5 linked regions of the Sus scrofa genome follow. The protein of the gene in region 1 purifies or fractionates together with the protein of each later gene. This does not show direct contact. Links are inferred from orthologs where the notes say so. Each region holds a gene or a part of one and is shown in the gene's direction. Other genes may lie near its edges.

What was found.
Region 2: the proteins of TCOF1 (region 1) and NOLC1 purify together in Homo sapiens (affinity purification with western blotting; 4 studies listed by BioGRID and IntAct, with this or other methods). This does not show direct contact. The link is inferred for Sus scrofa from reciprocal best matches to the Homo sapiens genes TCOF1 and NOLC1.
Region 3: the proteins of TCOF1 (region 1) and ARRB1 purify together in Homo sapiens (affinity purification with western blotting; 5 studies listed by BioGRID and IntAct, with this or other methods). This does not show direct contact. The link is inferred for Sus scrofa from reciprocal best matches to the Homo sapiens genes TCOF1 and ARRB1.
Region 4: the proteins of TCOF1 (region 1) and ARRB2 purify together in Homo sapiens (affinity purification with western blotting; 4 studies listed by BioGRID and IntAct, with this or other methods). This does not show direct contact. The link is inferred for Sus scrofa from reciprocal best matches to the Homo sapiens genes TCOF1 and ARRB2.
Region 5: the proteins of TCOF1 (region 1) and CSNK2A2 purify together in Homo sapiens (affinity purification with mass spectrometry; 3 studies listed by BioGRID and IntAct, with this or other methods). This does not show direct contact. The link is inferred for Sus scrofa from reciprocal best matches to the Homo sapiens genes TCOF1 and CSNK2A2.

Annotation. Positions count from the first base shown.
Region 1 is NC_010444.4:151,371,133-151,375,178, forward strand, and holds part of TCOF1 (treacle protein), read left to right. Parts: intron 1-2,246; coding exon 2,247-2,398; intron 2,399-4,046.
Region 2 is NC_010456.5:113,160,850-113,164,895, forward strand, and holds part of NOLC1 (nucleolar and coiled-body phosphoprotein 1), read left to right. Parts: intron 1-264; coding exon 265-386; intron 387-511; coding exon 512-653; intron 654-2,098; coding exon 2,099-2,227; intron 2,228-2,438; coding exon 2,439-2,549; intron 2,550-2,642; coding exon 2,643-3,284; intron 3,285-3,420; coding exon 3,421-3,527; intron 3,528-3,974; coding exon 3,975-4,046. UniProt on the Homo sapiens protein: Nucleolar protein that acts as a regulator of RNA polymerase I by connecting RNA polymerase I with enzymes responsible for ribosomal processing and modification.
Region 3 is NC_010451.4:9,536,362-9,540,407, reverse strand, and holds part of ARRB1 (beta-arrestin-1), read left to right. Parts: intron 1-1,299; coding exon 1,300-1,359; intron 1,360-2,098; coding exon 2,099-2,166; intron 2,167-4,046. UniProt on the Homo sapiens protein: Functions in regulating agonist-mediated G-protein coupled receptor (GPCR) signaling by mediating both receptor desensitization and resensitization processes.
Region 4 is NC_010454.4:52,164,040-52,167,628, reverse strand, and holds part of ARRB2 (beta-arrestin-2), read left to right. Parts: intron 1-553; exon of another isoform or gene 554-579; coding exon 580-610; intron 611-1,208; coding exon 1,209-1,269; intron 1,270-1,378; coding exon 1,379-1,423; intron 1,424-1,624; coding exon 1,625-1,821; intron 1,822-2,135; coding exon 2,136-2,195; intron 2,196-2,568; coding exon 2,569-2,636; intron 2,637-2,773; coding exon 2,774-2,909; intron 2,910-3,105; coding exon 3,106-3,515; intron 3,516-3,589. UniProt on the Homo sapiens protein: Functions in regulating agonist-mediated G-protein coupled receptor (GPCR) signaling by mediating both receptor desensitization and resensitization processes.
Region 5 is NC_010448.4:19,982,120-19,986,165, reverse strand, and holds part of CSNK2A2 (casein kinase II subunit alpha'), read left to right. Parts: intron 1-319; coding exon 320-430; intron 431-730; coding exon 731-832; intron 833-1,317; coding exon 1,318-1,418; intron 1,419-2,896; coding exon 2,897-3,045; intron 3,046-4,046.

The DNA of each region.
Region 1 (4,046 bases):
GAGACCTGGGATCAGCGCCTCTTAAGGACGAAGCTTCTCAGCAGCTGGTCCTCCTTCAGTCAGTCGGGTCTGTTCTAGGTACAGAGATGCTGTCTGGAGTGAGACAGGCCTCAGACACTGAGACGAGGGCGGGGAAGTTGCGGGGCGGTGAGGGTGGGGAGAAGCGGTGTCCAGGGCCCGGCCACCTAACAGCTTAGCGTGGCCTCTGGGCTTTGATGTGACCGCATCGGGGCGTGGGCAGTGAACTAGGCGGTAGGTATGGAGAGGCCAAGCCCTGGCGGGGCACCTGCTGGCGCTGAGGCCAGTAGCAGCAGGCACGGAGCAGGCGAGGTCAGCGGGGCCCGACCCACGGCGTGAAGGCGTGTCTTTGTCCCCAGCGCCGTGGGAGCCACGGGGCGGGGAAGCCGCCAGGGGTGAGGTCGGCAGGCCGGTGTGTGGGCGTCGGCGTCCCAACAAGAGCCACGGGGCGGGGGCGGCGGGGGCGCCGGGCGCCCCCGGGTGTCTGGCTTGTACACCTGCGTGGAAGGAGCCTGATGGGGGGAGAGCGTTCAAGGGCACGTGGAATGTGATGAGCCTGTGCCACGTGTACAGGGGGAGGGGTGATGGGGGGACAGCAGAGGAGTGGTTTGAGAATGACGCGGGGACAGTCGTTCTGCCCGTGAAGCGGCCCAACCGCAGCAGCTCGGGCTGTGAAGGACCTGATCGTGTCCCCTGAGGAATGGCAGGGGTACAGGAGGTCCGAGATGGAAAAGGCGGCAGAGAGGCAGGTGCGGGACCAGGTCTGCCATCTCTGAGGACGGAGAGCGTGGGGGGTCCTCGGGGGCCTCAGAGACTGAAGTCGGAATGAATGTACCTGCTCGAGGAAGACGGGCTCAGCTTCCGAGTGGAAGCAGTGGGTCTCAGTCGCCACGATGAGGGCAGCTGCTGTGGAGGGTGGGCTCCCCGGCCTCGGGTGTGCCAACAGGGCAGGCTGGTGTCGGGGCCCCCCTCGGGTGGAGAGCTCGGCCGGGGGAGAGCTGTCTTGTCTCTGCTCTGCTGCTAGGTGCGCGGGGCCCCCCTTCCTCCTGCCCGGTGTCTGGGCGTGGGCTTGGCACTTCCTTTCCCAGAGAACTGCTTCAGCGGGCCCGCCGCCACCCCTCCCTGCACAGGCCCCTCCTCGGGTGGGGGGCGCTGAGGACCAGAGCCCTCCTAGCTAGTGGTGCGAACCCAGCGACAAGTGGATCACCGTGGACAAACTTGGCCTCCCCAAGTCCATCTCCACCCGTGAAATAGAGAAGAGCAGATGACGCGCTACACCTGCCGCCGGAGGCATGGCCACCCCACCCCCACCCCCAGGGTTCACTGAGCGCCTGCCGTGCGCCAGCGCTGTTCTTACCGTAGCTGGGAGCGAACCAGACAAAACGCCTGCTTCTGTGCCGCTTGCGTTCTGCTGGGAGGAGAGAGGCGGAGCGAACTGGGCCTCAGAGTAAACGAACCTGGTTTTGCAGAAGATCCCGGCAGGTGGCCTTGCTGGGAACATGGGGCCCGAGCAGCACACCCCAGACTGTGGCAGAGCCGCGTCTGTCCCAGCTGGAGACCACGGGGCACAGACAGGGACTCCCTCCGGGCAGGGGGCTGGGGTCAGAGGCGACACGGCTTCCGAGTTCCAAGTTCCCGCGACTCGGCCGTCTGGGTGCTCACCCCCTCCCTGGAGCCCCAGCCTTCTTCCTGCCCCTGGGCGCGTCACTTAGCCTGCGCTGGGCGCTCGAGGGGCTGTAGTGAGGCGCGAGGGTTCCTGCCAGCACCCCCCTCCCAGGCCTGCCTGTACGGGGGCGGGGGGGCGTCGAGCAGGAAGTGGGTGAAATAACAGGAGAGAAGCATGTGACCCAGGACGGCAGGGCAGAACCGGTCCCGTGGGAGGGAGGCCTCTGAGGAGGCTGTGCTGGAGCCGAGGCCAGGCCAGGAAGAGGGCAGTGCAGGCGCCCCCGCTTTGGAGCCCCCGGAGCCCAGCCCGACTGCCGTGCTGTGTCCGCAGTGCCGGCCCGGGGCGCTCAGGGACGGCGCGCTGCTGCCGCTTTGAAGACGCAGAGGTGGCTGTAAGGACGCGATGGCGTGAGATTGCAGACCCCAAACTTGCATCCACAGTGTTTCTGTAGCTTCACACACGTTTCCTCGGGGGCGGGAGGGGCGGGAGGATCTTCCTTTTTGACTCTCCTGGGGTCGCCCTTGTCCCTCGGTGGAGCAGGTCAGTCACCCTTGTCCTGCAGAACCTCGGAGCTTGGCCGGAAGCGGAAGGCGGAGGAAGACGCAGCCCTGCAGGCCAAGAAGACCCGCGTGTCAGACCCCATCAGCAGCTCGGAGAGCTCGGAGGAGGAGGAGGAGGAGGAGGAAGCGGCCGAAGCCAGAAATGCCAAAGCCAGTAAGTCCACTGTGCGGGGTGAGCCCAGCCCGGTGCCTGCTCCTTGGGGAACAAGCCACTGATGCCAGATTGTTCCAGGGGCGGGCCCGCCGCCCGCTTCTCCTTCACTGTGTGTGCCCTGGAGGACCAGGCCCCTGGAGAGGTTCGTCAGAAGGGCCCCTCATACCTGTTTTAGTTTTTTTTTGGTTTTTTTTTTTGTCTTTTTAGGGCCGCACCTCCGGCATATGGAGGTTCCCAGGCTAGGGATCTAATCGGAGCTTTAGCCTCCAGGGCCATAGCAACACCAGATTCAAGCCACGTCTGCGACCCACACCACAGCTCACAGCCACACTGGATCCCTAACCCACTGGGGAGTGAGGCTGGGGACTGAACCTGCAACCTCCTGGTTCCTAGTCGGATTCGTTAACCAGTGAGCCACGATGGGAGCTCCCCTGTCTTAGTCTTGACTTGAGCGCTTCCTCTGGGCTGTCATGTCCCCGGTGTTGGGTGTCCAGTGGTGAACAAAAGCATAGCTGGGCCCTTGCATCTGCTTTGGTCAGTGCGGCCCAGGAACTGCACTTTTATTTTTCCCTCCTTTTTTTGTAGGGCTTCTTCCTCCCACAGCTCACGGAGGTTCCCAGGCTAGGGGTCCAATCGGAGCTGCAGCTGCCGGCCTGCACCACAGCCACAGCCACAGCAACGCCGGATCCTTCCCACTGAGCGAGGCCAGGGATCGAACCCTCGTCCTCATGGTTACTAGTTAAGTTCTTTACCGCTGAGCCGCAACGGGAACTCCAGGAGCTCCGTTTTCACAAGCCCCCCAGGTGATTCTGATAGCGAAAGAAAGAAGCCCATATTTTGAGGAGAGCTGCTGCAAGGAGATTTCACAGAGGGCGGCGGGCAGGCCCCTCCTGTGTGTGTCTGGGCCGTGTCGATCTTGGTGTGTCTGGAGGTGTGCAGCGTGGCCGTGCCGGCACTCTGGTTCCAGAGCACCGGCTGGGGTGACCGCCTGAGGCCTGACAGCTCTGTTCTCAGAGCAGTTTGTGCTTAACCAACAGCAGTCGTAGCTCTGCCGGGGAGTTAGCGTTCTCTGCGTTACTGGTTTTTACTTAGACAGAAGGTAATTTCTTAATTTTTAAATACATTTCCGATTGTAAAAGAAATACAGGCTTCATCATGGAGTATTCATTATAGAATATGTGAAAATCATTTTTTAAAAAGGTGGGGGAAATTACCCATATTCTTACCACACATAATTTGGCAAATTATTCTTCCATTTATTTTTCTGAGCATATTTCTTCAAATATGTGAATCATACCGAACATGCATTTTATACCTTGCTTAATCGTTTAAATGATAATGCAAAATAAGAACTGTACAAAATCAAAGAGGAGAGAAGTGAGAGGTTTCTTCCTCCCCCTTGTCTGCTCCTCTCCCACTCCCCGAACCCGCCTGCCCCCCCACCGAACCCGCCTGCACCCCCACTCCCCGAACCCGCCTGCCCCTCCACGCCCCGAACCTGCCTGCACCCCCATTCCCGAACCTGTCTGCCCCACCCCCATTCTCCTAACCTGCCTGCCCCTTCCACTCCCTGAACTTGCCCGCACCCCTACTCCCCGAACCTCCCTGTACCCCCCTCCACGCCCCGAACCTGCCTGCACCCCCTCCA
Region 2 (4,046 bases), on another chromosome or scaffold:
ATTACCATTTTTCTTCTTGTATCTTCATTCCATAGAGTGAAGGAGAATTTTTATTTCCTTCAGTAATTTTCCTCTATGAAGGTTTTGAAGACCGTTTTATTCCTGAAGTTGGGCAGGAAATTAATCCTTTGCTACAGTAAACCACAGCATTCTCCGTCATGCCTGCTCCAAAGGCAGGAGACTCCAAAGTACTGAGCTAATAGGAAGGAGAGTTTTAATGGCCTTTTGGTGCCTTGATGCTCCTTACATTATCTTATATTGTAGGTACACCAGCTCGGGCAGCACCTAAAGTAGCCAATGGCAAAGCAGCTAGCAGCAGCAGTAGTAGCAGCAGCAGCAGTGATGATGACTCAGAGGAGGAGAAGGCAGCAGCCGTCTCCAAGAAGGTATGGGCCTTAACTTCAACCAGGGAAGAGGGCATTGGGGACGGAGGTGAGGGGTCTCTGTTTCATGGCAGGATTGGTTGGGTCAGCATTTTCCTGTGGTAATCGATTTTCTCCACGTAATGCAGACGGTACCTAAAAAGCAAGTTGTGGTCAAGGCCCCAGTGAAAGCAGCTGCTGCTCCTGCCCAGAAGAGTTCCAGCAGTGAGGACTCCTCCAGTGAGGAGGAAGAGGAAGAACAGAAGAAAAAACCAATGAAGAAAAAACCAGGTGAGGAGTTCCCTGGTGGTGCAGCGGGTTAAGGATCCAGCTTTGTCACTGCTGTGGCTCTGGTTACAACTTTGACTCAGGTTCGATCCTGGCAGATTCTGCATGCCATAAGCACAGCCAAAAAGCGCCAGGTGGCTGGACATGGGGAGTCAAGCTATGTGACTGTGAACAGGGCCCGATTGCAGAGAACCTCTGCAGTCACCATGTGGACCTCTTCCTAGAGCTACCTGGCATGGCAGCTAGCTTCTCCCAGAGAAAGGAGAATGCCACACACTGTCTTTTTTATAGCCTGGACTCGAAAGAGTGACATGTCATCATTTCTGTTTTTTTGGGTTTTTTAAAAAATTTTATTAGTTATTTTTGTCTTTTGTCTTTTTAGGGCCACACCTGTGGCATATGGAGGTTCCCAGGCTAGGGGGTCAGTGGGAGCTGTAGCTGCCAGCCTATGCCACACCTCACAGCAGTGCCAGATCCTTAACCCACTGGGTAAGGCCAGGGGTAGAACCCTCATCTTCATGGATACTCATTGGGTTCGTTAACCACTGAGCCATGAAGGGAACTCCCCACCATGTTCTTTTTGTCAGAAATGAGTCAACCCATCCTAACCTCTGCTCAGCTGAAGGGGAATTAAGCTCCATTTCTAGAAGGAAGAAGTATCAAAAGAATTCTGTACTTTTTTTTTTTTTTTGGTCTTTTTTTATAGGGCTGCACCCATGAGATGTGAAAGTTCCTAGGCTAGGGGTCGAAATCAGATCTGTAGCTGCTGGCCTATGCCACAAATGCAGCAAAGCCAGATCCAAGCCAAGTCTGCGACCTACACCACAGCTCATAGTAATGCTGGATCCTTTAACCCATTGAGTGAGGTTAGGGATCAAACCCGTGTCCCCATGGATACTTGTCAGGTTTATTCCCACTAAGCCACAATGGGAACTCCTATTTCTTTTTCTAATGGCTGCACCTGTGGACTATGGAAGTTCCCAGGCCAGGGATTGAACTTGAGCTACAGCTTCGACCTACGCCACAGCTGTGGCAATACTGCCTCCTTTAATTGCGCCTGATTGAACCTGTGTCTCTGTAGCAACCTGAGCTGCTGAAGTCGGATTCTTTTTTTTTTTTTATTGTTTTTTTGCCATTTCTTGAGCCGCTCCCCCAGCATATGGAAGTTCCCAGGCTAGGGGTCTAATCGGAGTTGTAGCCGCCAGCCTATGCCACAGCCACAGCAACGCAGCTGCATCTGCAACCCACACCACAGCTCACAACAATGCCAGATCCTTAACCCACTGAGTGGGGCTGGGATCAAACCCTCAACCTCCTGGTTCTCAGTCGGATTCGTTAACCACTGAGCCATGACGGGCACTCCTGAAGTCAGATTCTTAATCCATTGCATCACAGTGGGAACTCCACTGTACTTATTTTAAAACCACCACACTCTCCCTTCTAAATAGGTACTTATAGTTCAGTTCCCCCACCTTCCGTTCCGTCACCCAAGAAGCCCCTGGGAACCCAGGCTCCCAAGAAAGCTGCAGGGAAGCAGGAGCCTGTGGAGAGCAGTGAGGACAGCAGCGACGAGTCTGGTGAGTGGTCACCTGTGCTAAGTGGGAGTGGGGAGTGTGTGAGGAAATGCTTCTGTCCCTTCTGCTTTTCCCTGAAGCAAGACAGGGCTGAGGCTCTGTGTGAGTCTTCGCATCTTGTTTGTATTGCCCCTGGTTGGGGCGGGACTCTTGTTTGTATTGCCCCTGGTTGGGGGGGGGCTCTGGACCCAGCCTGAGCCATTGTTCACTCCAGATTCAAGTTCTGAGGAAGAAAAGAAACCCCCAGCTAAGGCAGTTGTACCAAAAGCCGCTACTAAAGCAGCTCCAGCAAAGAAGGCAGCAGAGAGCTCTTCAGATAGCTCAGGTAAGGCATATGGAGGCCTTTGGGGCAGTGGGAGCTCCAGGGACTCCCCAGAGTCTAGTTTGGGGAGCCACTCATTCTATTCTTGCTGTCTAGACTCTGACAGTTCTGAGGATGAAGCTCCTGCCAAGCCAGCCAGTGCCACCAAGAATTCAAGTAAGCCAGCTGCCACTCCCAAGCAGTCTATAGCTAAGCCAGCCACAAGTTCCAAGCAGCCTGTAGGCAGTGGCCAGAAGCCTCTGACCAGAAAGGCTGATAGCAGCTCCAGTGAGGAGGAGAGCAGTTCTAGTGAGGACGAGAAGATGAAGAAGACTGTAGCAACGCCTAAGTCCAAGGTGACGGCCAAAGCAGCTCCATCTTTGCCTGCCAAGCAGGCCTCTCAGGGTGGTGGGGATAGCAGTTCTGATTCAGACAGCTCTAGCAGCGAGGAAGAGGAGGAAGAGAAGACGTCTAAAACCCCAGCTAAAAAAATGCCACAGAAGGATGTGGGAGCTGTAGCCCCTTCTAAGCCAGCATCTGCGAAGCAAGCCAAGGCTGAGAGCAGCAGCAGTTCTTCCTCTGATGACTCCAGTGAGGAGGAGGAAGAGGACAAGCCCAAGGGCAAGAGCACTCCGAAACCACAGGCCCCCAAGGCCAATGGCACCACTGCATTGACTGCCCAGAATGGAAAAGCAGATAGGGATAGCAACGAGGAGGAAGAGGACAAGAAAAAGGCAGCAGTGGGAGTTTCTAAGCCAGGTCTGTATCCAGAGAACCTGCCCCCCAAATCAGGATGGGCTGTAGTCCTGGGGTGGGGTGGGCTGGGATAGGGAGCTGAGGCCCATAAGTGGCTTCCAGGAAACCAGTCTCCTGAGGCTTATTTTCTGTTGTACAGGTTCAGGAAAGAAGCGGAAGCAAAATGAGGCTGCTAAGGAGACAGAGACACCTCCAGCCAAGAAGATAAAGCCCCAGACTCCCAACACATTTCCTAAAAGGAAGAAAGTAAGCAGTCTTATTTTCCTCTCAGGAGCCAGCTTTTAGAGTAGGAAGAAAAATCTCGGATCGACTCTGACTGTTCTTTTTTTTGTCTTTTTGCTATTTCTTTGGGCCCCTCCCGCGGCATATGGAAGTTCCCAGGCTAGGGGTTGAATCGGAGCTGTAGCCACCGGCCTACACCAGAGCCACAGCAACGCGGGATCCGAGCCGCGTCTGCAACCTACACCACAGCTCACAGCAACGCGGGATCATTAACCCACTGAGCAAGGCAGGGACCAAACCCGCAACCTCATGGTTCCTAGTTGGATTCATTAACCACTGTGCCACGACGGGAACTCTGACTCTGACTGTTTTTTGCCTGGCTTGGCACACATGCTTGTGTGTGTGTAGCTCAGGGGGGCTTTTCTGTTCCATGACCACGCCACCTTGATTTTCTACTTCATTGTTCTCCAGGGAGAGCGCAGGGGATCCTCTCCATTCCGAAGGATAAGGGAGGAGGAGATCGAGGTGGATGCTCGGGTGGCA
Region 3 (4,046 bases), on another chromosome or scaffold:
ACCCTCCTGAGTCCAGGTCATTGGTGGGGGGAAGAGGGGGATGGGCCGTCTCCTCCCTCAGACCTGCTGCCCACGAGCCGGCCCCCACCCAGCTCACAAATGAGGAGGGCGAGATTTCCCTGCTCGGCTCCCTTTCCACTCCAAGAATCTGGAGTTTCAAGTTTCCTGTTTCTCAGACTCTGATTCTTCGATCAGTGAAATCTCCCAGCTTTCTGTGGGGGTCAGAGACAGAAAGAGCCACCCTCTCGTGGTTTCCTGTGGCTGCTGTAACAAACCACTGCAAACCGGGTTGTAATTAAACCTGCAAATTAAAACACAACTGTGGTGGGAGTTCCTCTTGTGACGCAGTGGCAACGAATCTGACGAATACCCATGAGGATGCGAGTTGGATCCCGGCCTCGCTCCGTGGGTTAAAGATCTGGCGTTGCCGTGAGCTGTGGTGCAGTTCACGGGCGAGGCTCGGATCTGTGTGGCTGTGGTGCAGGCTGGCAGCTGCAGCTCCGACTTGACCCCCAGCCTGGGATCTTCCATATGCTGCAAGTGTGGCCCTAAAAAAACTCAAAAAAATCCCACAAAGGTGTTATCTTACAGTTCTGGAGGTCGGAAGTCCACAACAGGTCTCACTGGGCTAAAAATCCAGTATCAGCAGGGCTGCCTTGGTTCTGGAGGCTCCAGGAGGGACTCTGTTTCCTTGCTTTTTCCTGCTTCAATTTCACACTCTTTGGCCCCAGCCCACCGCTGGTCCATCTTCAAAGCCAGCAGGGGCCCAGCCTGTCTTTCTCGGATCCCATCTCTCTGATGCTGACTTCTCTGCTTCCTGCTTTCACGGTTAAGGACCCTGTGCTTACATCAGGCCCACCTGGATAATCGGGACCACTCTCCCCATCGCGGGAGCCTCCATCACACCTGTAAAGTCGTTTGGGCCGTTTAAGGCAACAGTGCTGGGCTTTGGAGAGTAGGAGGTAGACCCCTGGGGGAGGCCACTTCTCTGCCTACCACAGCGGACTTCTTGGAAAGACCTTTGCCGCTCTCCTTCTGTGGGGCCTGTGCTGGGCTAAACCCTTAGATAAAGAAAAGCACTGAAATTCTTGGCTTTGCTGGAGGGACCTCTGGTCTCACACGGGGCGTGGCCCGGCGTGGTCTGATGGCGGAGACGTGGCCTGTCCTCTGAATTCCCTAGTCTGATGGAAGGAGCCTGTCCTGAGGGGCCCCTGCTCTGATGAATGGGGGGTGGGGGTGGGGGCGGAGACCCAGGGAGGCCCGAGGTGAATGTGACAGGTCCGTCTGTCCTCTTCACAGATCCCTCCGAACCTCCCATGCTCTGTGACGTTGCAGCCGGGGCCTGAAGACACAGGGAAGGTGGGTCCCCCCAAGGGAGCATCTCTCTGGGTCCAGGACGCTGTGTCCCCAGTCCCCACCTTCTCTCTGGGGGTGCTGGAACCCTCCCTGTAGACACCTCCTGTGTCTAGACCAGGCTGATCCCACCTCAGATGAGGAGTCTTTTCAGATGGGGCGACAGGTATGGTATCATCCTTGCCCCCTGGCTCAGTGATGTGCCCAGGGCCTCTCCTGAGTCACTTGCCCTTCGGTGTTGGCTGCAGAATGTTCTCTGGACAACGGTCGGGCCTCACAACCTTGTGTGGAGGTGCACCCATCACCATTTCTCAGGGGGGGAGACTGAGGCTCGGAGAACCTCTCAGGCCTCAGATCTGCGACATGGAGGTGATGGGACCTGCCTTGTGGCGTGTCCGGAGGGTGGAGTGAATGCTGAAGGGCACAGCGGTCAGTGCGGGGTCCGCGTGCAGGCGGCGCTCCCTGCGCGGGGCTGCCGAGGTCCCGCTGTCCTTGCTGGGCGGCTGCCTCGATGTGGACAGGAGTCTTCAGAGGAGCCGGTCAGGGAGCAGCTCCGTGGGAGGGTCGGATGGGGGAGGCAGCCCTGCACTTTTTCCTTTGCAGCGCAGTGCACGGTGCACGAGAGGGCTCAGGCTGTGGGAACATGTGTTCCTGTCCCGTGGCCTTGGTAAATGAGGGCAGGCCAGCCGTGCCCACAGGAGCCTGCCCTCTCCAAGGCCCTGTGCTCAGAAACCCTTCCCCACAGGCCTGCGGTGTGGACTACGAAGTAAAAGCCTTCTGTGCAGAGAACCTGGAGGAGAAGATCCACAAGCGGTGAGGAGAGGCAGCTTCGGCCGCCTGGGTGTGGGCTGCCTGCTGGCCGTCGGGGGAGACAGGATCGGAAAAGTCCGAAGAGGATAGAAGGAACAATGCCTGGAAGTGTGTGAGGAGGGGCTGCATTCCAGCCTTGGGAACTCTGCAGAGGGCACAGGGGAAGGCTGGCAGGTCGGGAGGGCTTCCTGGAGGAGGTGGCTCCGTTGCTCTGGCTCAGGCCTCAGCGCTTTGTCCTTGGCACCACTCTGTACCCACTTCCTTCATCTCCCTGCCTCTAATCTCTTCCTCTCCAGACTTCGTGTCCTTTAATTTGTTTTGGAAAAAACCTGAAATTCAGATTGTTTTCAACAGTGAGCAAGATGTTTCCCCTGCCATTCTGGCCCAACTTCCCAGTTCTCTTGGGAGGCCATCAGCAGGGGGTTGGGGGTGGCAAGGGGGGTCGGGGGGGAGGGGAGGGAGCTGTGTCCGTGGAGGCCCCTGAGCAAAGGAGGGAAGTGGAGAAGGTGAAGCTGCCCAGGGCAGAGAGAGGAGGAGGTCAGCCTTGTCTCAGAGGAGGGAAGCATTTTACTGGAGAGACACAGCCCTGGCTGGACAGAAAGCCCAGACCAGCTGCCGGGAGTAGCTGGCCCTTACCTCTGGGGTGAGCTGCCCAGCCCCGCTCCCATACCTGCCCCTCCTGGGCTCAGACTGCGCTTGGCCTCCTGGAAGGGCTTAGCCAGCAACTCTGCAGCCCCTGCCCCCAGTCACCGGCGCTGCAACCCCTTGGTGAGTGGGCCAAGTTGCCACCTGGTGGTTACATGTGGCATTGCAGGCGTCTCCCACTCCAGCCTGGCAGCTCATGTGCGTGGCGAGAGGGAACCCGTCTCCTCTGCTTCTCTGTACCCTTTTTCTTCTGAAGACCTGAGACCAGGAAAAAGGAAGGGGGTTGTAGGTTGTGGTAGGGGGTCTAGCCAGAGCAAGGCGGGGGAGGCAGCCCTGAGAGCCAGCACTCTCAACCTGCACCCATGGGACATTTTAAAGCCACGCCAGAGTTACCCCTTAACATAATACAGCAGCTCGCACTTATCAAGAGCTTATTATACACCAGACACAGTTCAAAGTGATGGACACGTACGAGCTAATTTAATCCACACAGCAAGCGTAAGAAGAGGGTCCTGCCATTGTCGCCATTTTACAGATGAGGAAACTGAGGCCCAGGGGTTCATTTACTCAAGGTCATGCCGTTAGTAAGGGGAGGGCTAGGACTTGAATCCTGGCTGTCTGGCTCCAGGGAACGGAGGTGGCTTCTCTGAGAATCAGGGATGCCAGCACACCCAGCCCCCACGGAGACTGCCTGTCCTGCTGTCCTCCCTGAGCCCCGTCGCCGGGCCACCCTCATCTCACTGAGTCTTTATCTCCTTTACTGGTCCTCGTCGCCTGACTGCATATGCGTCCTTTCCCTGAACTCATCACCTCCTCAAGCCCCCGTTCTTCCTGGGGCCCTTGTCCCCGTGCACATTTTTATTTAATAAATACTCAGCAGGTATTCAGTACATGGCGGCCGGCGTTGTCGTAGGTACTGAGAACATAGCAGTCAACGATTTAGACAGAAACGTCTATCCTGAAAGAGCTCACGTTCTTAGGTGCCATGGGGACGCAGGAAGTGAAACATAGTCGCTTTCTTAGCATCCTGCTGGCTACCAAGACACAGAGCCACATAACGTGCTGCCACGGGATGGCTTGGCCCCTGATGTGGTAGGAGTTCAGAGCAGTTGACCTTGAGGAAGGAAGGTCAGTTGACCTCGGGGAAGGAAGCGGATGAGGGCGGAAGCTGGAAGGGGATGTTATAGGCTGGGACTGAGCGTAAGCAAAGCTTCAGAAATAGGACCAGATAGGGAGTT
Region 4 (3,589 bases), on another chromosome or scaffold:
GCTAGATCTGCTTTCTAAAGGAGATGATAGCTCAGAGGGGCCCTCAAAAACATAAGCTCTTTAAGCTGCTGAAATGGGGTCGCACTTAGGTACTGCCCATCAGAGGAACCTTTTCGGAGGCAAAGGCCAGAGCCATTGCTCTTGCAAGGACTCCAGCTCCTGTTAGAGGTGGAGACCAGGGATGGAAGGAGGGTTCGTTCTCCCACAGACACTCCTGCAACCTGCCCATTCAGGTCCCCTGCGGGGAGGTCCTCTGGGAAGAGCCTAAGTGGTTCCTGTGGCAACCCAGCGGCCAAGGCCACGGGAGGAGGGGAAGGAGTGAGGGTGGAGCTAGGGGGGTTGCCATGGGAACCCGCTTTGAGGGGCTGCCGCCGTGCTGGGACTATGAAGGACCTGTGGTTGGCTACCTTTCCTTCTGGGAAGAAGTGGGAGGGGGTAGGGCTGGGTAAAGCCCAGAGGCCTCCAGGCAAGAAGCTCGGGGGAGCTTTGCTTCTCAGGCTGGGGAGGGACAAGGTCCTGGCACCAGGGTCCCTGCTGAGTCTGAGGGAGGCAGTGGGGTTTCCCTTTCTGTTTTGTTAGGGTCTTCAAGAAGTCGAGTCCTAACTGCAAGGTGAGTCTCCCAACCCTCCCAAAGCCGGGCCTGCCCCTAGCCGATCCCCAACCCCCGGCTCCCCACTTCCTGTGACAGCTAAGCGCCCACTTCCTTCCCTCCTGAAGCCCCTAGCTGCAGAGGCCTGAGCCAGCCACAGGGCTGGGTGGGGACAGGCTTGGGTCCCTAAGCAAGACCAGGGGGAAGGGCCAGAAGCCCAAGCCTGGAGCCCTCTTGGGAGCCAACCCACCATTCCCGGGGGCTAGGGACAGATACCATGGCCCCAGGCTATGGCCCCTGTATCCCAGAGGTCCTTGGCATCGGTGAGGCTCTCTGCCTGCCTAGGGCCTGGTCCTCCTGGACCCATACACACACACAAACACCCGACTTGTGGGCAGAGGTGTGAAAAGTTATCAGAGAGCTGTTACAAACCTCCAGGTTGGGTGGTCTGGGAGGCCCCACCACTCTCCTCTTCCAGCCCTACTGGGAGGAAACCAGGAGAAACTCCTTCCAGATACCCCAGCCTGGGAAGGCCAGGGGCAGGGCAGCCACTTCTGAGGGCTCTGCAGCCCTGCCCCCCTCCTACCCAACCTTCCCTGTGCCCCCTCTGCATCCTCAGCTCACTGTGTACCTGGGCAAGCGGGACTTTGTAGATCACCTGGATAAAGTGGATCCTGTGGGTAAGTGTGCTCAGAAAGTCCTCGTGTCCCCGGGAGGGGAAGAAGCTCCTGGGCCCGGGGATGGAGGAGAGGCCCCGACAGGGACTCAGCTCCTGTGTCCCCTTCCCAGATGGCGTGGTGCTTGTGGACCCTGACTACTTGAAGGACCGCAAAGGTACTGGCCCCGAGTCCAGGGGCCCAAGGGCCGGGAGGAGGGCGGGGAAATGAAACAGGCTGGCCTCTCCAGGGGCCCCAGGGAGATGGGAGGGCCGGGGCGGAAGCCAGAGGTAGGAATGCGGGCAGGTTTCATGCTGCCGAGGAGGGAGCAGCTGCCACTCAGGACCCCTGACCGCCCCACCTCGCCCTCTCTTGCCAGTGTTTGTGACCCTCACCTGCGCCTTCCGCTATGGCCGCGAAGACCTGGATGTGCTGGGCTTGTCCTTCCGCAAAGACCTGTTCATCGCCACCTACCAGGCCTTCCCGCCGATGCCCAACCCGCCCCGGCCCCCCACCCGGCTGCAGGACCGGCTGCTGAGGAAGCTGGGCCAGCACGCCCACCCCTTTTTTTTCACAGTGAGGATGCCCCCACACACACCCCCTGCAGAGCAAGGGCTCTGGGACTGTGTTTGGGGGGTGAGGCACCTGCTCCAGGCAGGTCTGGAAGAAACAGGGAGGAGAGACCCCAGATCCCCGTCCTTGAGGGTCGCCTTGCACACAGGAAGCTCTTGCCTCTCTGCCTTCTTCCCCCCTCCCCCCGGTGGAGGGGGCCCTTCCTGTGTCCTTTCTCATCCCCAGGGGTCCTTCTCCAGCCTCTTAAGTTGAGATTGGGAGGAAGATTTCGGGGGGCTTTCGGGAAGGACTGAAGCCTCTCCTTTCCTCCGCCACAGATACCCCAGAACCTGCCCTGCTCCGTCACCCTGCAGCCAGGCCCAGAGGACACAGGGAAGGTACGGGAGGAACAGGGTCCTAGGGGCACACTTGGGGGGGGATGGGCCCTGAGAAGTCCAGGTGGGGCTAAGGGTAGGAAAATGTCCCTGGGAGCAGTGGGCACGTGCAAGGAATGGTCACTGCGCATGTGGGACACTGCCTCCTGCTCATGACCTGCACACAGCGGCGTATGGGGGCTCGCCTCGCACAGCCAGGTCCGACCTCTGCCGGGTGCCGGGCCTCGCGGAGACAGAGGAGGAAGACCTGGGCCCTGCACGCCTCAGAGCATGATGGGGCAAGAGTGGCTGCCCAAGACGAAGGCAGCGGGAAGGAAGGGAGTGGTGGTGGCGGCAGGGGCTTGTGTAAGATGTGACCTTTTCTCCCCCTCTCAAGGCCTGCGGGGTGGACTTTGAGATTCGAGCCTTCTGTGCCAAATCGGTAGAAGAGAAAAGCCACAAAAGGTGAGGAAAGCACCCCCCCCCTTGGGTCTGACCATAACCTCCCAGCTCCCAGGCCTGGTTGGAGGTGAGAAGTGAGGGGTGAGAACTCGGCCACGGCCACGTCTGGAGTCTGTCTGACCCCTCCTCCCTGCCCCCAGGAACTCTGTGCGGCTGGTGATCCGAAAGGTGCAGTTTGCCCCCGAGAAACCCGGCCCCCAGCCTTCAGCTGAAACCACACGCCACTTCCTCATGTCTGACCGGTCCCTGCACCTCGAGGCGTCCCTGGACAAGGAGGTGGGGGGGGCGACAGGGTGCTGCAGTGCAGGCCAGACCCTGGGGAGGGGCGCTTCTAAAGGAGGCTGCCTTCCTTGCAGGGGTGGGCTTGGCTTTAGATGGAGGAGGCCCAGCACTGGGTGTGTGTTTGCGGGAGGTGGGGGCGCAGTAATAACAGGACCAGTGAAGAGACATCAATTAACTTTCCCCCCAAAAGCTGTACTACCATGGGGAGCCCCTCAATGTCAACGTCCACGTCACCAACAACTCCACCAAGACTGTCAAGAAGATCAAAGTCTCTGGTAGGAGGTGGGGGTTGGAAAATTGCCTGAAGGGAGGGAGTTTCAGCCACAGGACATACCCCAGGGCTGGAGACCCCGGGGGGCTCAAGGAATGCAGGCTGTCCCAGGATGGGGGGGTGGGGGGCACATGTCCTCAGGCAGGGATGCTAAAGGGCCAGGACCTGGGGTCCTTGCGGGGGGGGGGGGCGCGGGCTGGAGTTGGGTGGGCTGCTGTCTACACTCCATGCAGAGCTGCTTGGCCCCGCCCCACAGTGAGACAGTACGCGGACATCTGCCTCTTCAGCACGGCCCAGTACAAGTGCCCCGTGGCTCAGCTCGAACAAGAGTGAGTAGCAGAAGAGCCCTGGGTCCCCCTGGTCAGGGGGGAAGAGGGGCCCCGGAGTGTGAGGAAGGCGGGAG
Region 5 (4,046 bases), on another chromosome or scaffold:
GACAGATGTGGCTTGGATCTCACATTGCTGCAGCTCTGATTCCACCCCTAGCCTGGGAACTCGAATGTTCCCCAGGTATGGCTGTAAAAAGGGGGAGGGGTAAAAAGAATGATAAGCCAGGATAATTTAAATTTTTAAAAGAAAAAGCAAGTAAGATTCCAGGTGCTCTGCTTTAGAAATAATCTTAAATGTAGTTGCTGAAAGTATCAACAGTGTACTTTATGTGGCCAAATACTTATCTAAAATGATGTGGCCTTGTTGTAAGACACAGGCATCTAAAAAACATTCCTTTCCCACGTTTTATTTGCCATACTTATAGCTGCGACTGATAGACTGGGGTTTGGCAGAATTCTATCATCCAGCTCAGGAGTACAATGTCCGAGTAGCCTCGCGGTACTTCAAGGGACCAGAGCTCCTTGTGGACTATCAGGTAAAATTGTTAGTGAAGCACCTCTGGGTTCCTTTTTTTTTTCTCTAGGGCTTTTCCTGTGGGGTTTTTTTTTTTTTTTTTTTTTCTTCCCTGATTTTTATTTAGTCAATTTGGATACGTTCAAAATCCTGTCTATTCTATCTCAAAATGATAATTACTCGTTTTTCTCAGCTTCTTTTTTCTTTTTTTTTTTCCTTTGAATTTTAAAACATCTGCAGAGGTCAGCTAAAGACTAGAAACTCAGGTCAGAAAAATGGCATTTGTAACACCCTTGATGACTGGTTGTCTTTATTTCCTCAGATGTATGATTATAGCTTGGATATGTGGAGTTTGGGCTGTATGTTAGCAAGCATGATCTTTCGAAAGGAGCCCTTCTTTCATGGACAGGATAACTATGACCAGGTAAGCAAATACCATCTGACTCCTATCCATTTGGGGACAGATGCCAAGAAAATAGCATCTTGTAGGGATGCTATGCATATAAGCTTTTTTCAGAGTAAAGAATTTCACAGAATCTTGTCTGTAGTTACCGGGTCCCTATAGATAAAGACAGATAATGCTGTTATGCCCAACTTCCAAAGTGAGTCTGTGAAGAAGTCAAGTACCTCCTTGTCTAATAAAATAAGGTTCTAATCATTAGATGTTATACCAACATAACTGTTATTGCCTTAAGTTGTTGTTACTGTTTTAAAGGCATTTTGGAAATTTGCATTCATGTGAACTTCGTATCCATGGGTCTGCTGCCTGTCCACCCCAGGCTCAGATCTGTATCTGGTCCCTGGAGATTTACTGATGTGGAAGTCTTCTGATTCCTTGGTCCAGCATGTCCACGGGCTTGGCAGTGAGTTCTGTGCTCAGTGATTTGGTCAGTTTGTTTTGTGTTTCAGCTTGTTCGCATTGCCAAGGTTCTGGGTACAGATGAGCTGTATGGGTATCTGAAGAAGTATCACATAGACCTAGATCCACACTTCAACGATATCCTGGGACAGTAAGTAAGAGAGAGAAAGAAAGAGGGTTTTAACTTAGCCCATTTCAGAAGTGAAAAGGTTAGCTTTCTAAAAGCTCTTTTCCCCTTTCTAATCGTGTCAGGATGGAAATACTTTTTCCCCCCATTTGTATTATTTTTTAACTTACCTTGAAATATTGGGCATTGTTTACACATGTGTCTTCTAATCAGTATAATTCTCTGAGAGATAACCTGTTTATCAATAGAAAATGGAAGACAAAATCTAGTACAGCATATGCTTATTTTAATGGAAAAATTTTTTGTATTTTTTTATTACAGTACAATTGATTTATACTGTTCCAATTTCTTCTGTACAGTAAAGTGACCCAGTCATATATATGTGTGTTTGTGTGTATATATGTATATATATATATACTTATATCATCTCTTATGTTCTGTTCCAAGAGATTGGACACAGTTCCCTATGCTATACAGTAGTAATGGAAGATTATGGAAAGCTGTAATTCTTTGATTTTTGGGGAGTTCCCATTGTGACTCAGTGGTAACAAACCTGGCTGGTGTCCATGAGGATGTGGGTTTGATCCCTGACCTCGCTTGGTGGGTTAGGGATCTGGCATTGCCATGAGCTGCAGTGTAGGTTGCAGACTGAGCTTGGATCCCGCATTGCTGTGACTGTGGTGTAGGCCAGCAGCTATAGCTCTCATTCAACCCTTAGCCCGGGAACGTCCATATGGATGTGGCCCTAAAAAAAAGAGAGTTGGTTGCTTATTGTTCTGTGTAATGGATTTTCTAGAAGGGAGCAAATTTTAAAGCATGTTTTCAGATACAGTACAATAGTGTTGAAAAGTAAATGTAGTATTGACAATTTTTAGACAGTAATTTATAGAACCTCCGTGTTTCTAAAGCTAATGCTGTAAATGTACCTGCTAAACAATAAAGATTACTCAGCTACCTCTTTGCCTAACCCAGAATTGACAAAGCCTGGGATATAAAAATTTATCTAAAAAGGTTCCACAACTTCTAAATCAGATGTAGAAGTTTTAATTAATTCTGTGTTAGCAGTCACAGAGCACTTTTTTTTTTTTTGAGAATGTTGTGATCATAACTGTGAGGGGAGGTGGGACAGGCACCAGTAAGAAAGAGGTTTAATGAGCTTGTCTTTTTTTTTGTCTTTTTAGGGCTGCTCCTGCAGCATATGGAGGAGCTGTAGCTGCCAGTCTACACCACAGCCAAAGCAATGCCAGATCCGAGCCACGTCTGCGACCTACACCACACTCATGGCAACGCCAGATCCCCACCCCACTGGGCGAGGCCAGGGATCAAACCCGAAACCTCGTGGTTCCTAGTCAGACTTGTTTCCACTTCGCCATGACGGGAACTCAGATTTAATGAGCTTGTAATCAGCACAGTGTTCTAAGACTTTGCTGGCTTGAGCCCTAATACGTAAGGATTCTTGTTGAATTAGTCTCAGAATACCAGTGCTTTCCTTTTCTTCTCAGACATTCACGGAAACGCTGGGAAAACTTTATCCATAGTGAGAACAGACACCTCGTCAGCCCTGAGGCCCTAGATCTTCTGGACAAACTTCTGCGATATGACCATCAACAGAGACTGACCGCCAAAGAGGCCATGGAGCACCCGTACTTCTGTGAGTCTCCAGGGGCCTGATTTGTCAGAGAAATTCTTCTACCCTTTATCTTAGAGGCTGGTTGAGAGAATTCTGCGTATCTGGATGAATCATCCTTGGTATTTGGCCTCATTAGTTCTAGACTATTGAAACAACCCTGCAAAGGTATTTGCTTATTCACCACTGGGGCTCCCTTGAGTCTGGTCTGTTGGACTGTAGCCTGTGACTCTGAGTTGATAGATCACAAGTATCTAAAATTTTGTTTTCAAATATGTACATTTGTGTGGAAACCTATTCAGAGATTTCCCCCCACCCCCGCCAATAAAACATGATTTGGAGTTCCCACTGTGGTCTGGTGGGTTAAGAACCAGACTGCAGCAGCTCAGGTTGCTGCAGAGGTACATGTTTGATCCCAGCCTGACACAGTGGGTTAAAGGATCCAGCGTTGCTGCAGCTGTGGATTGGATTCAGTCCGTAGCCTGGGAATTTCCATATGCCACAGGTGCCGCCATTTAAAAAAACAACCAAAAAACAAATGATTTGTTGAAAGTAATAAGGTGATCATAGTGTATTTTTTAAGGAGGAAATAAGTAAGTACAAAGAGTTTGAGGAAAGGAAGGACCTTACTAAAATCCCGAGTTACCCACCTCTTAGGTCTCACCTTGAAGTATGTGTGTATATTCACTTTATGTGGATGCTTATTGGTATTCATGTCTATGGTCTCCCCGCCCCCGGTAAAGTATGTCCCGGACTTTGATTATAGACAGTGCAAAATGCAAGGTCATTTAGTCCAGTGACAGAGAGACTGTGTAAGGGTGGTCGAGTGACATGTCTCAGTTTTCTCTCTGTTGCTTGACCAATACACTATCTTCCTTTCTCCCTTTTCTCCTCTCTGGAGGTTAACTAAATCTTGCCCAAAGAATACATGACTCTGTGATGTTGAGCCTGCTGGTCCGTAAGCATTAGAGGACAGCAAATGTTGGAGTTCCTGTCATGGCTCAGCGATAACGAACCCAACTACT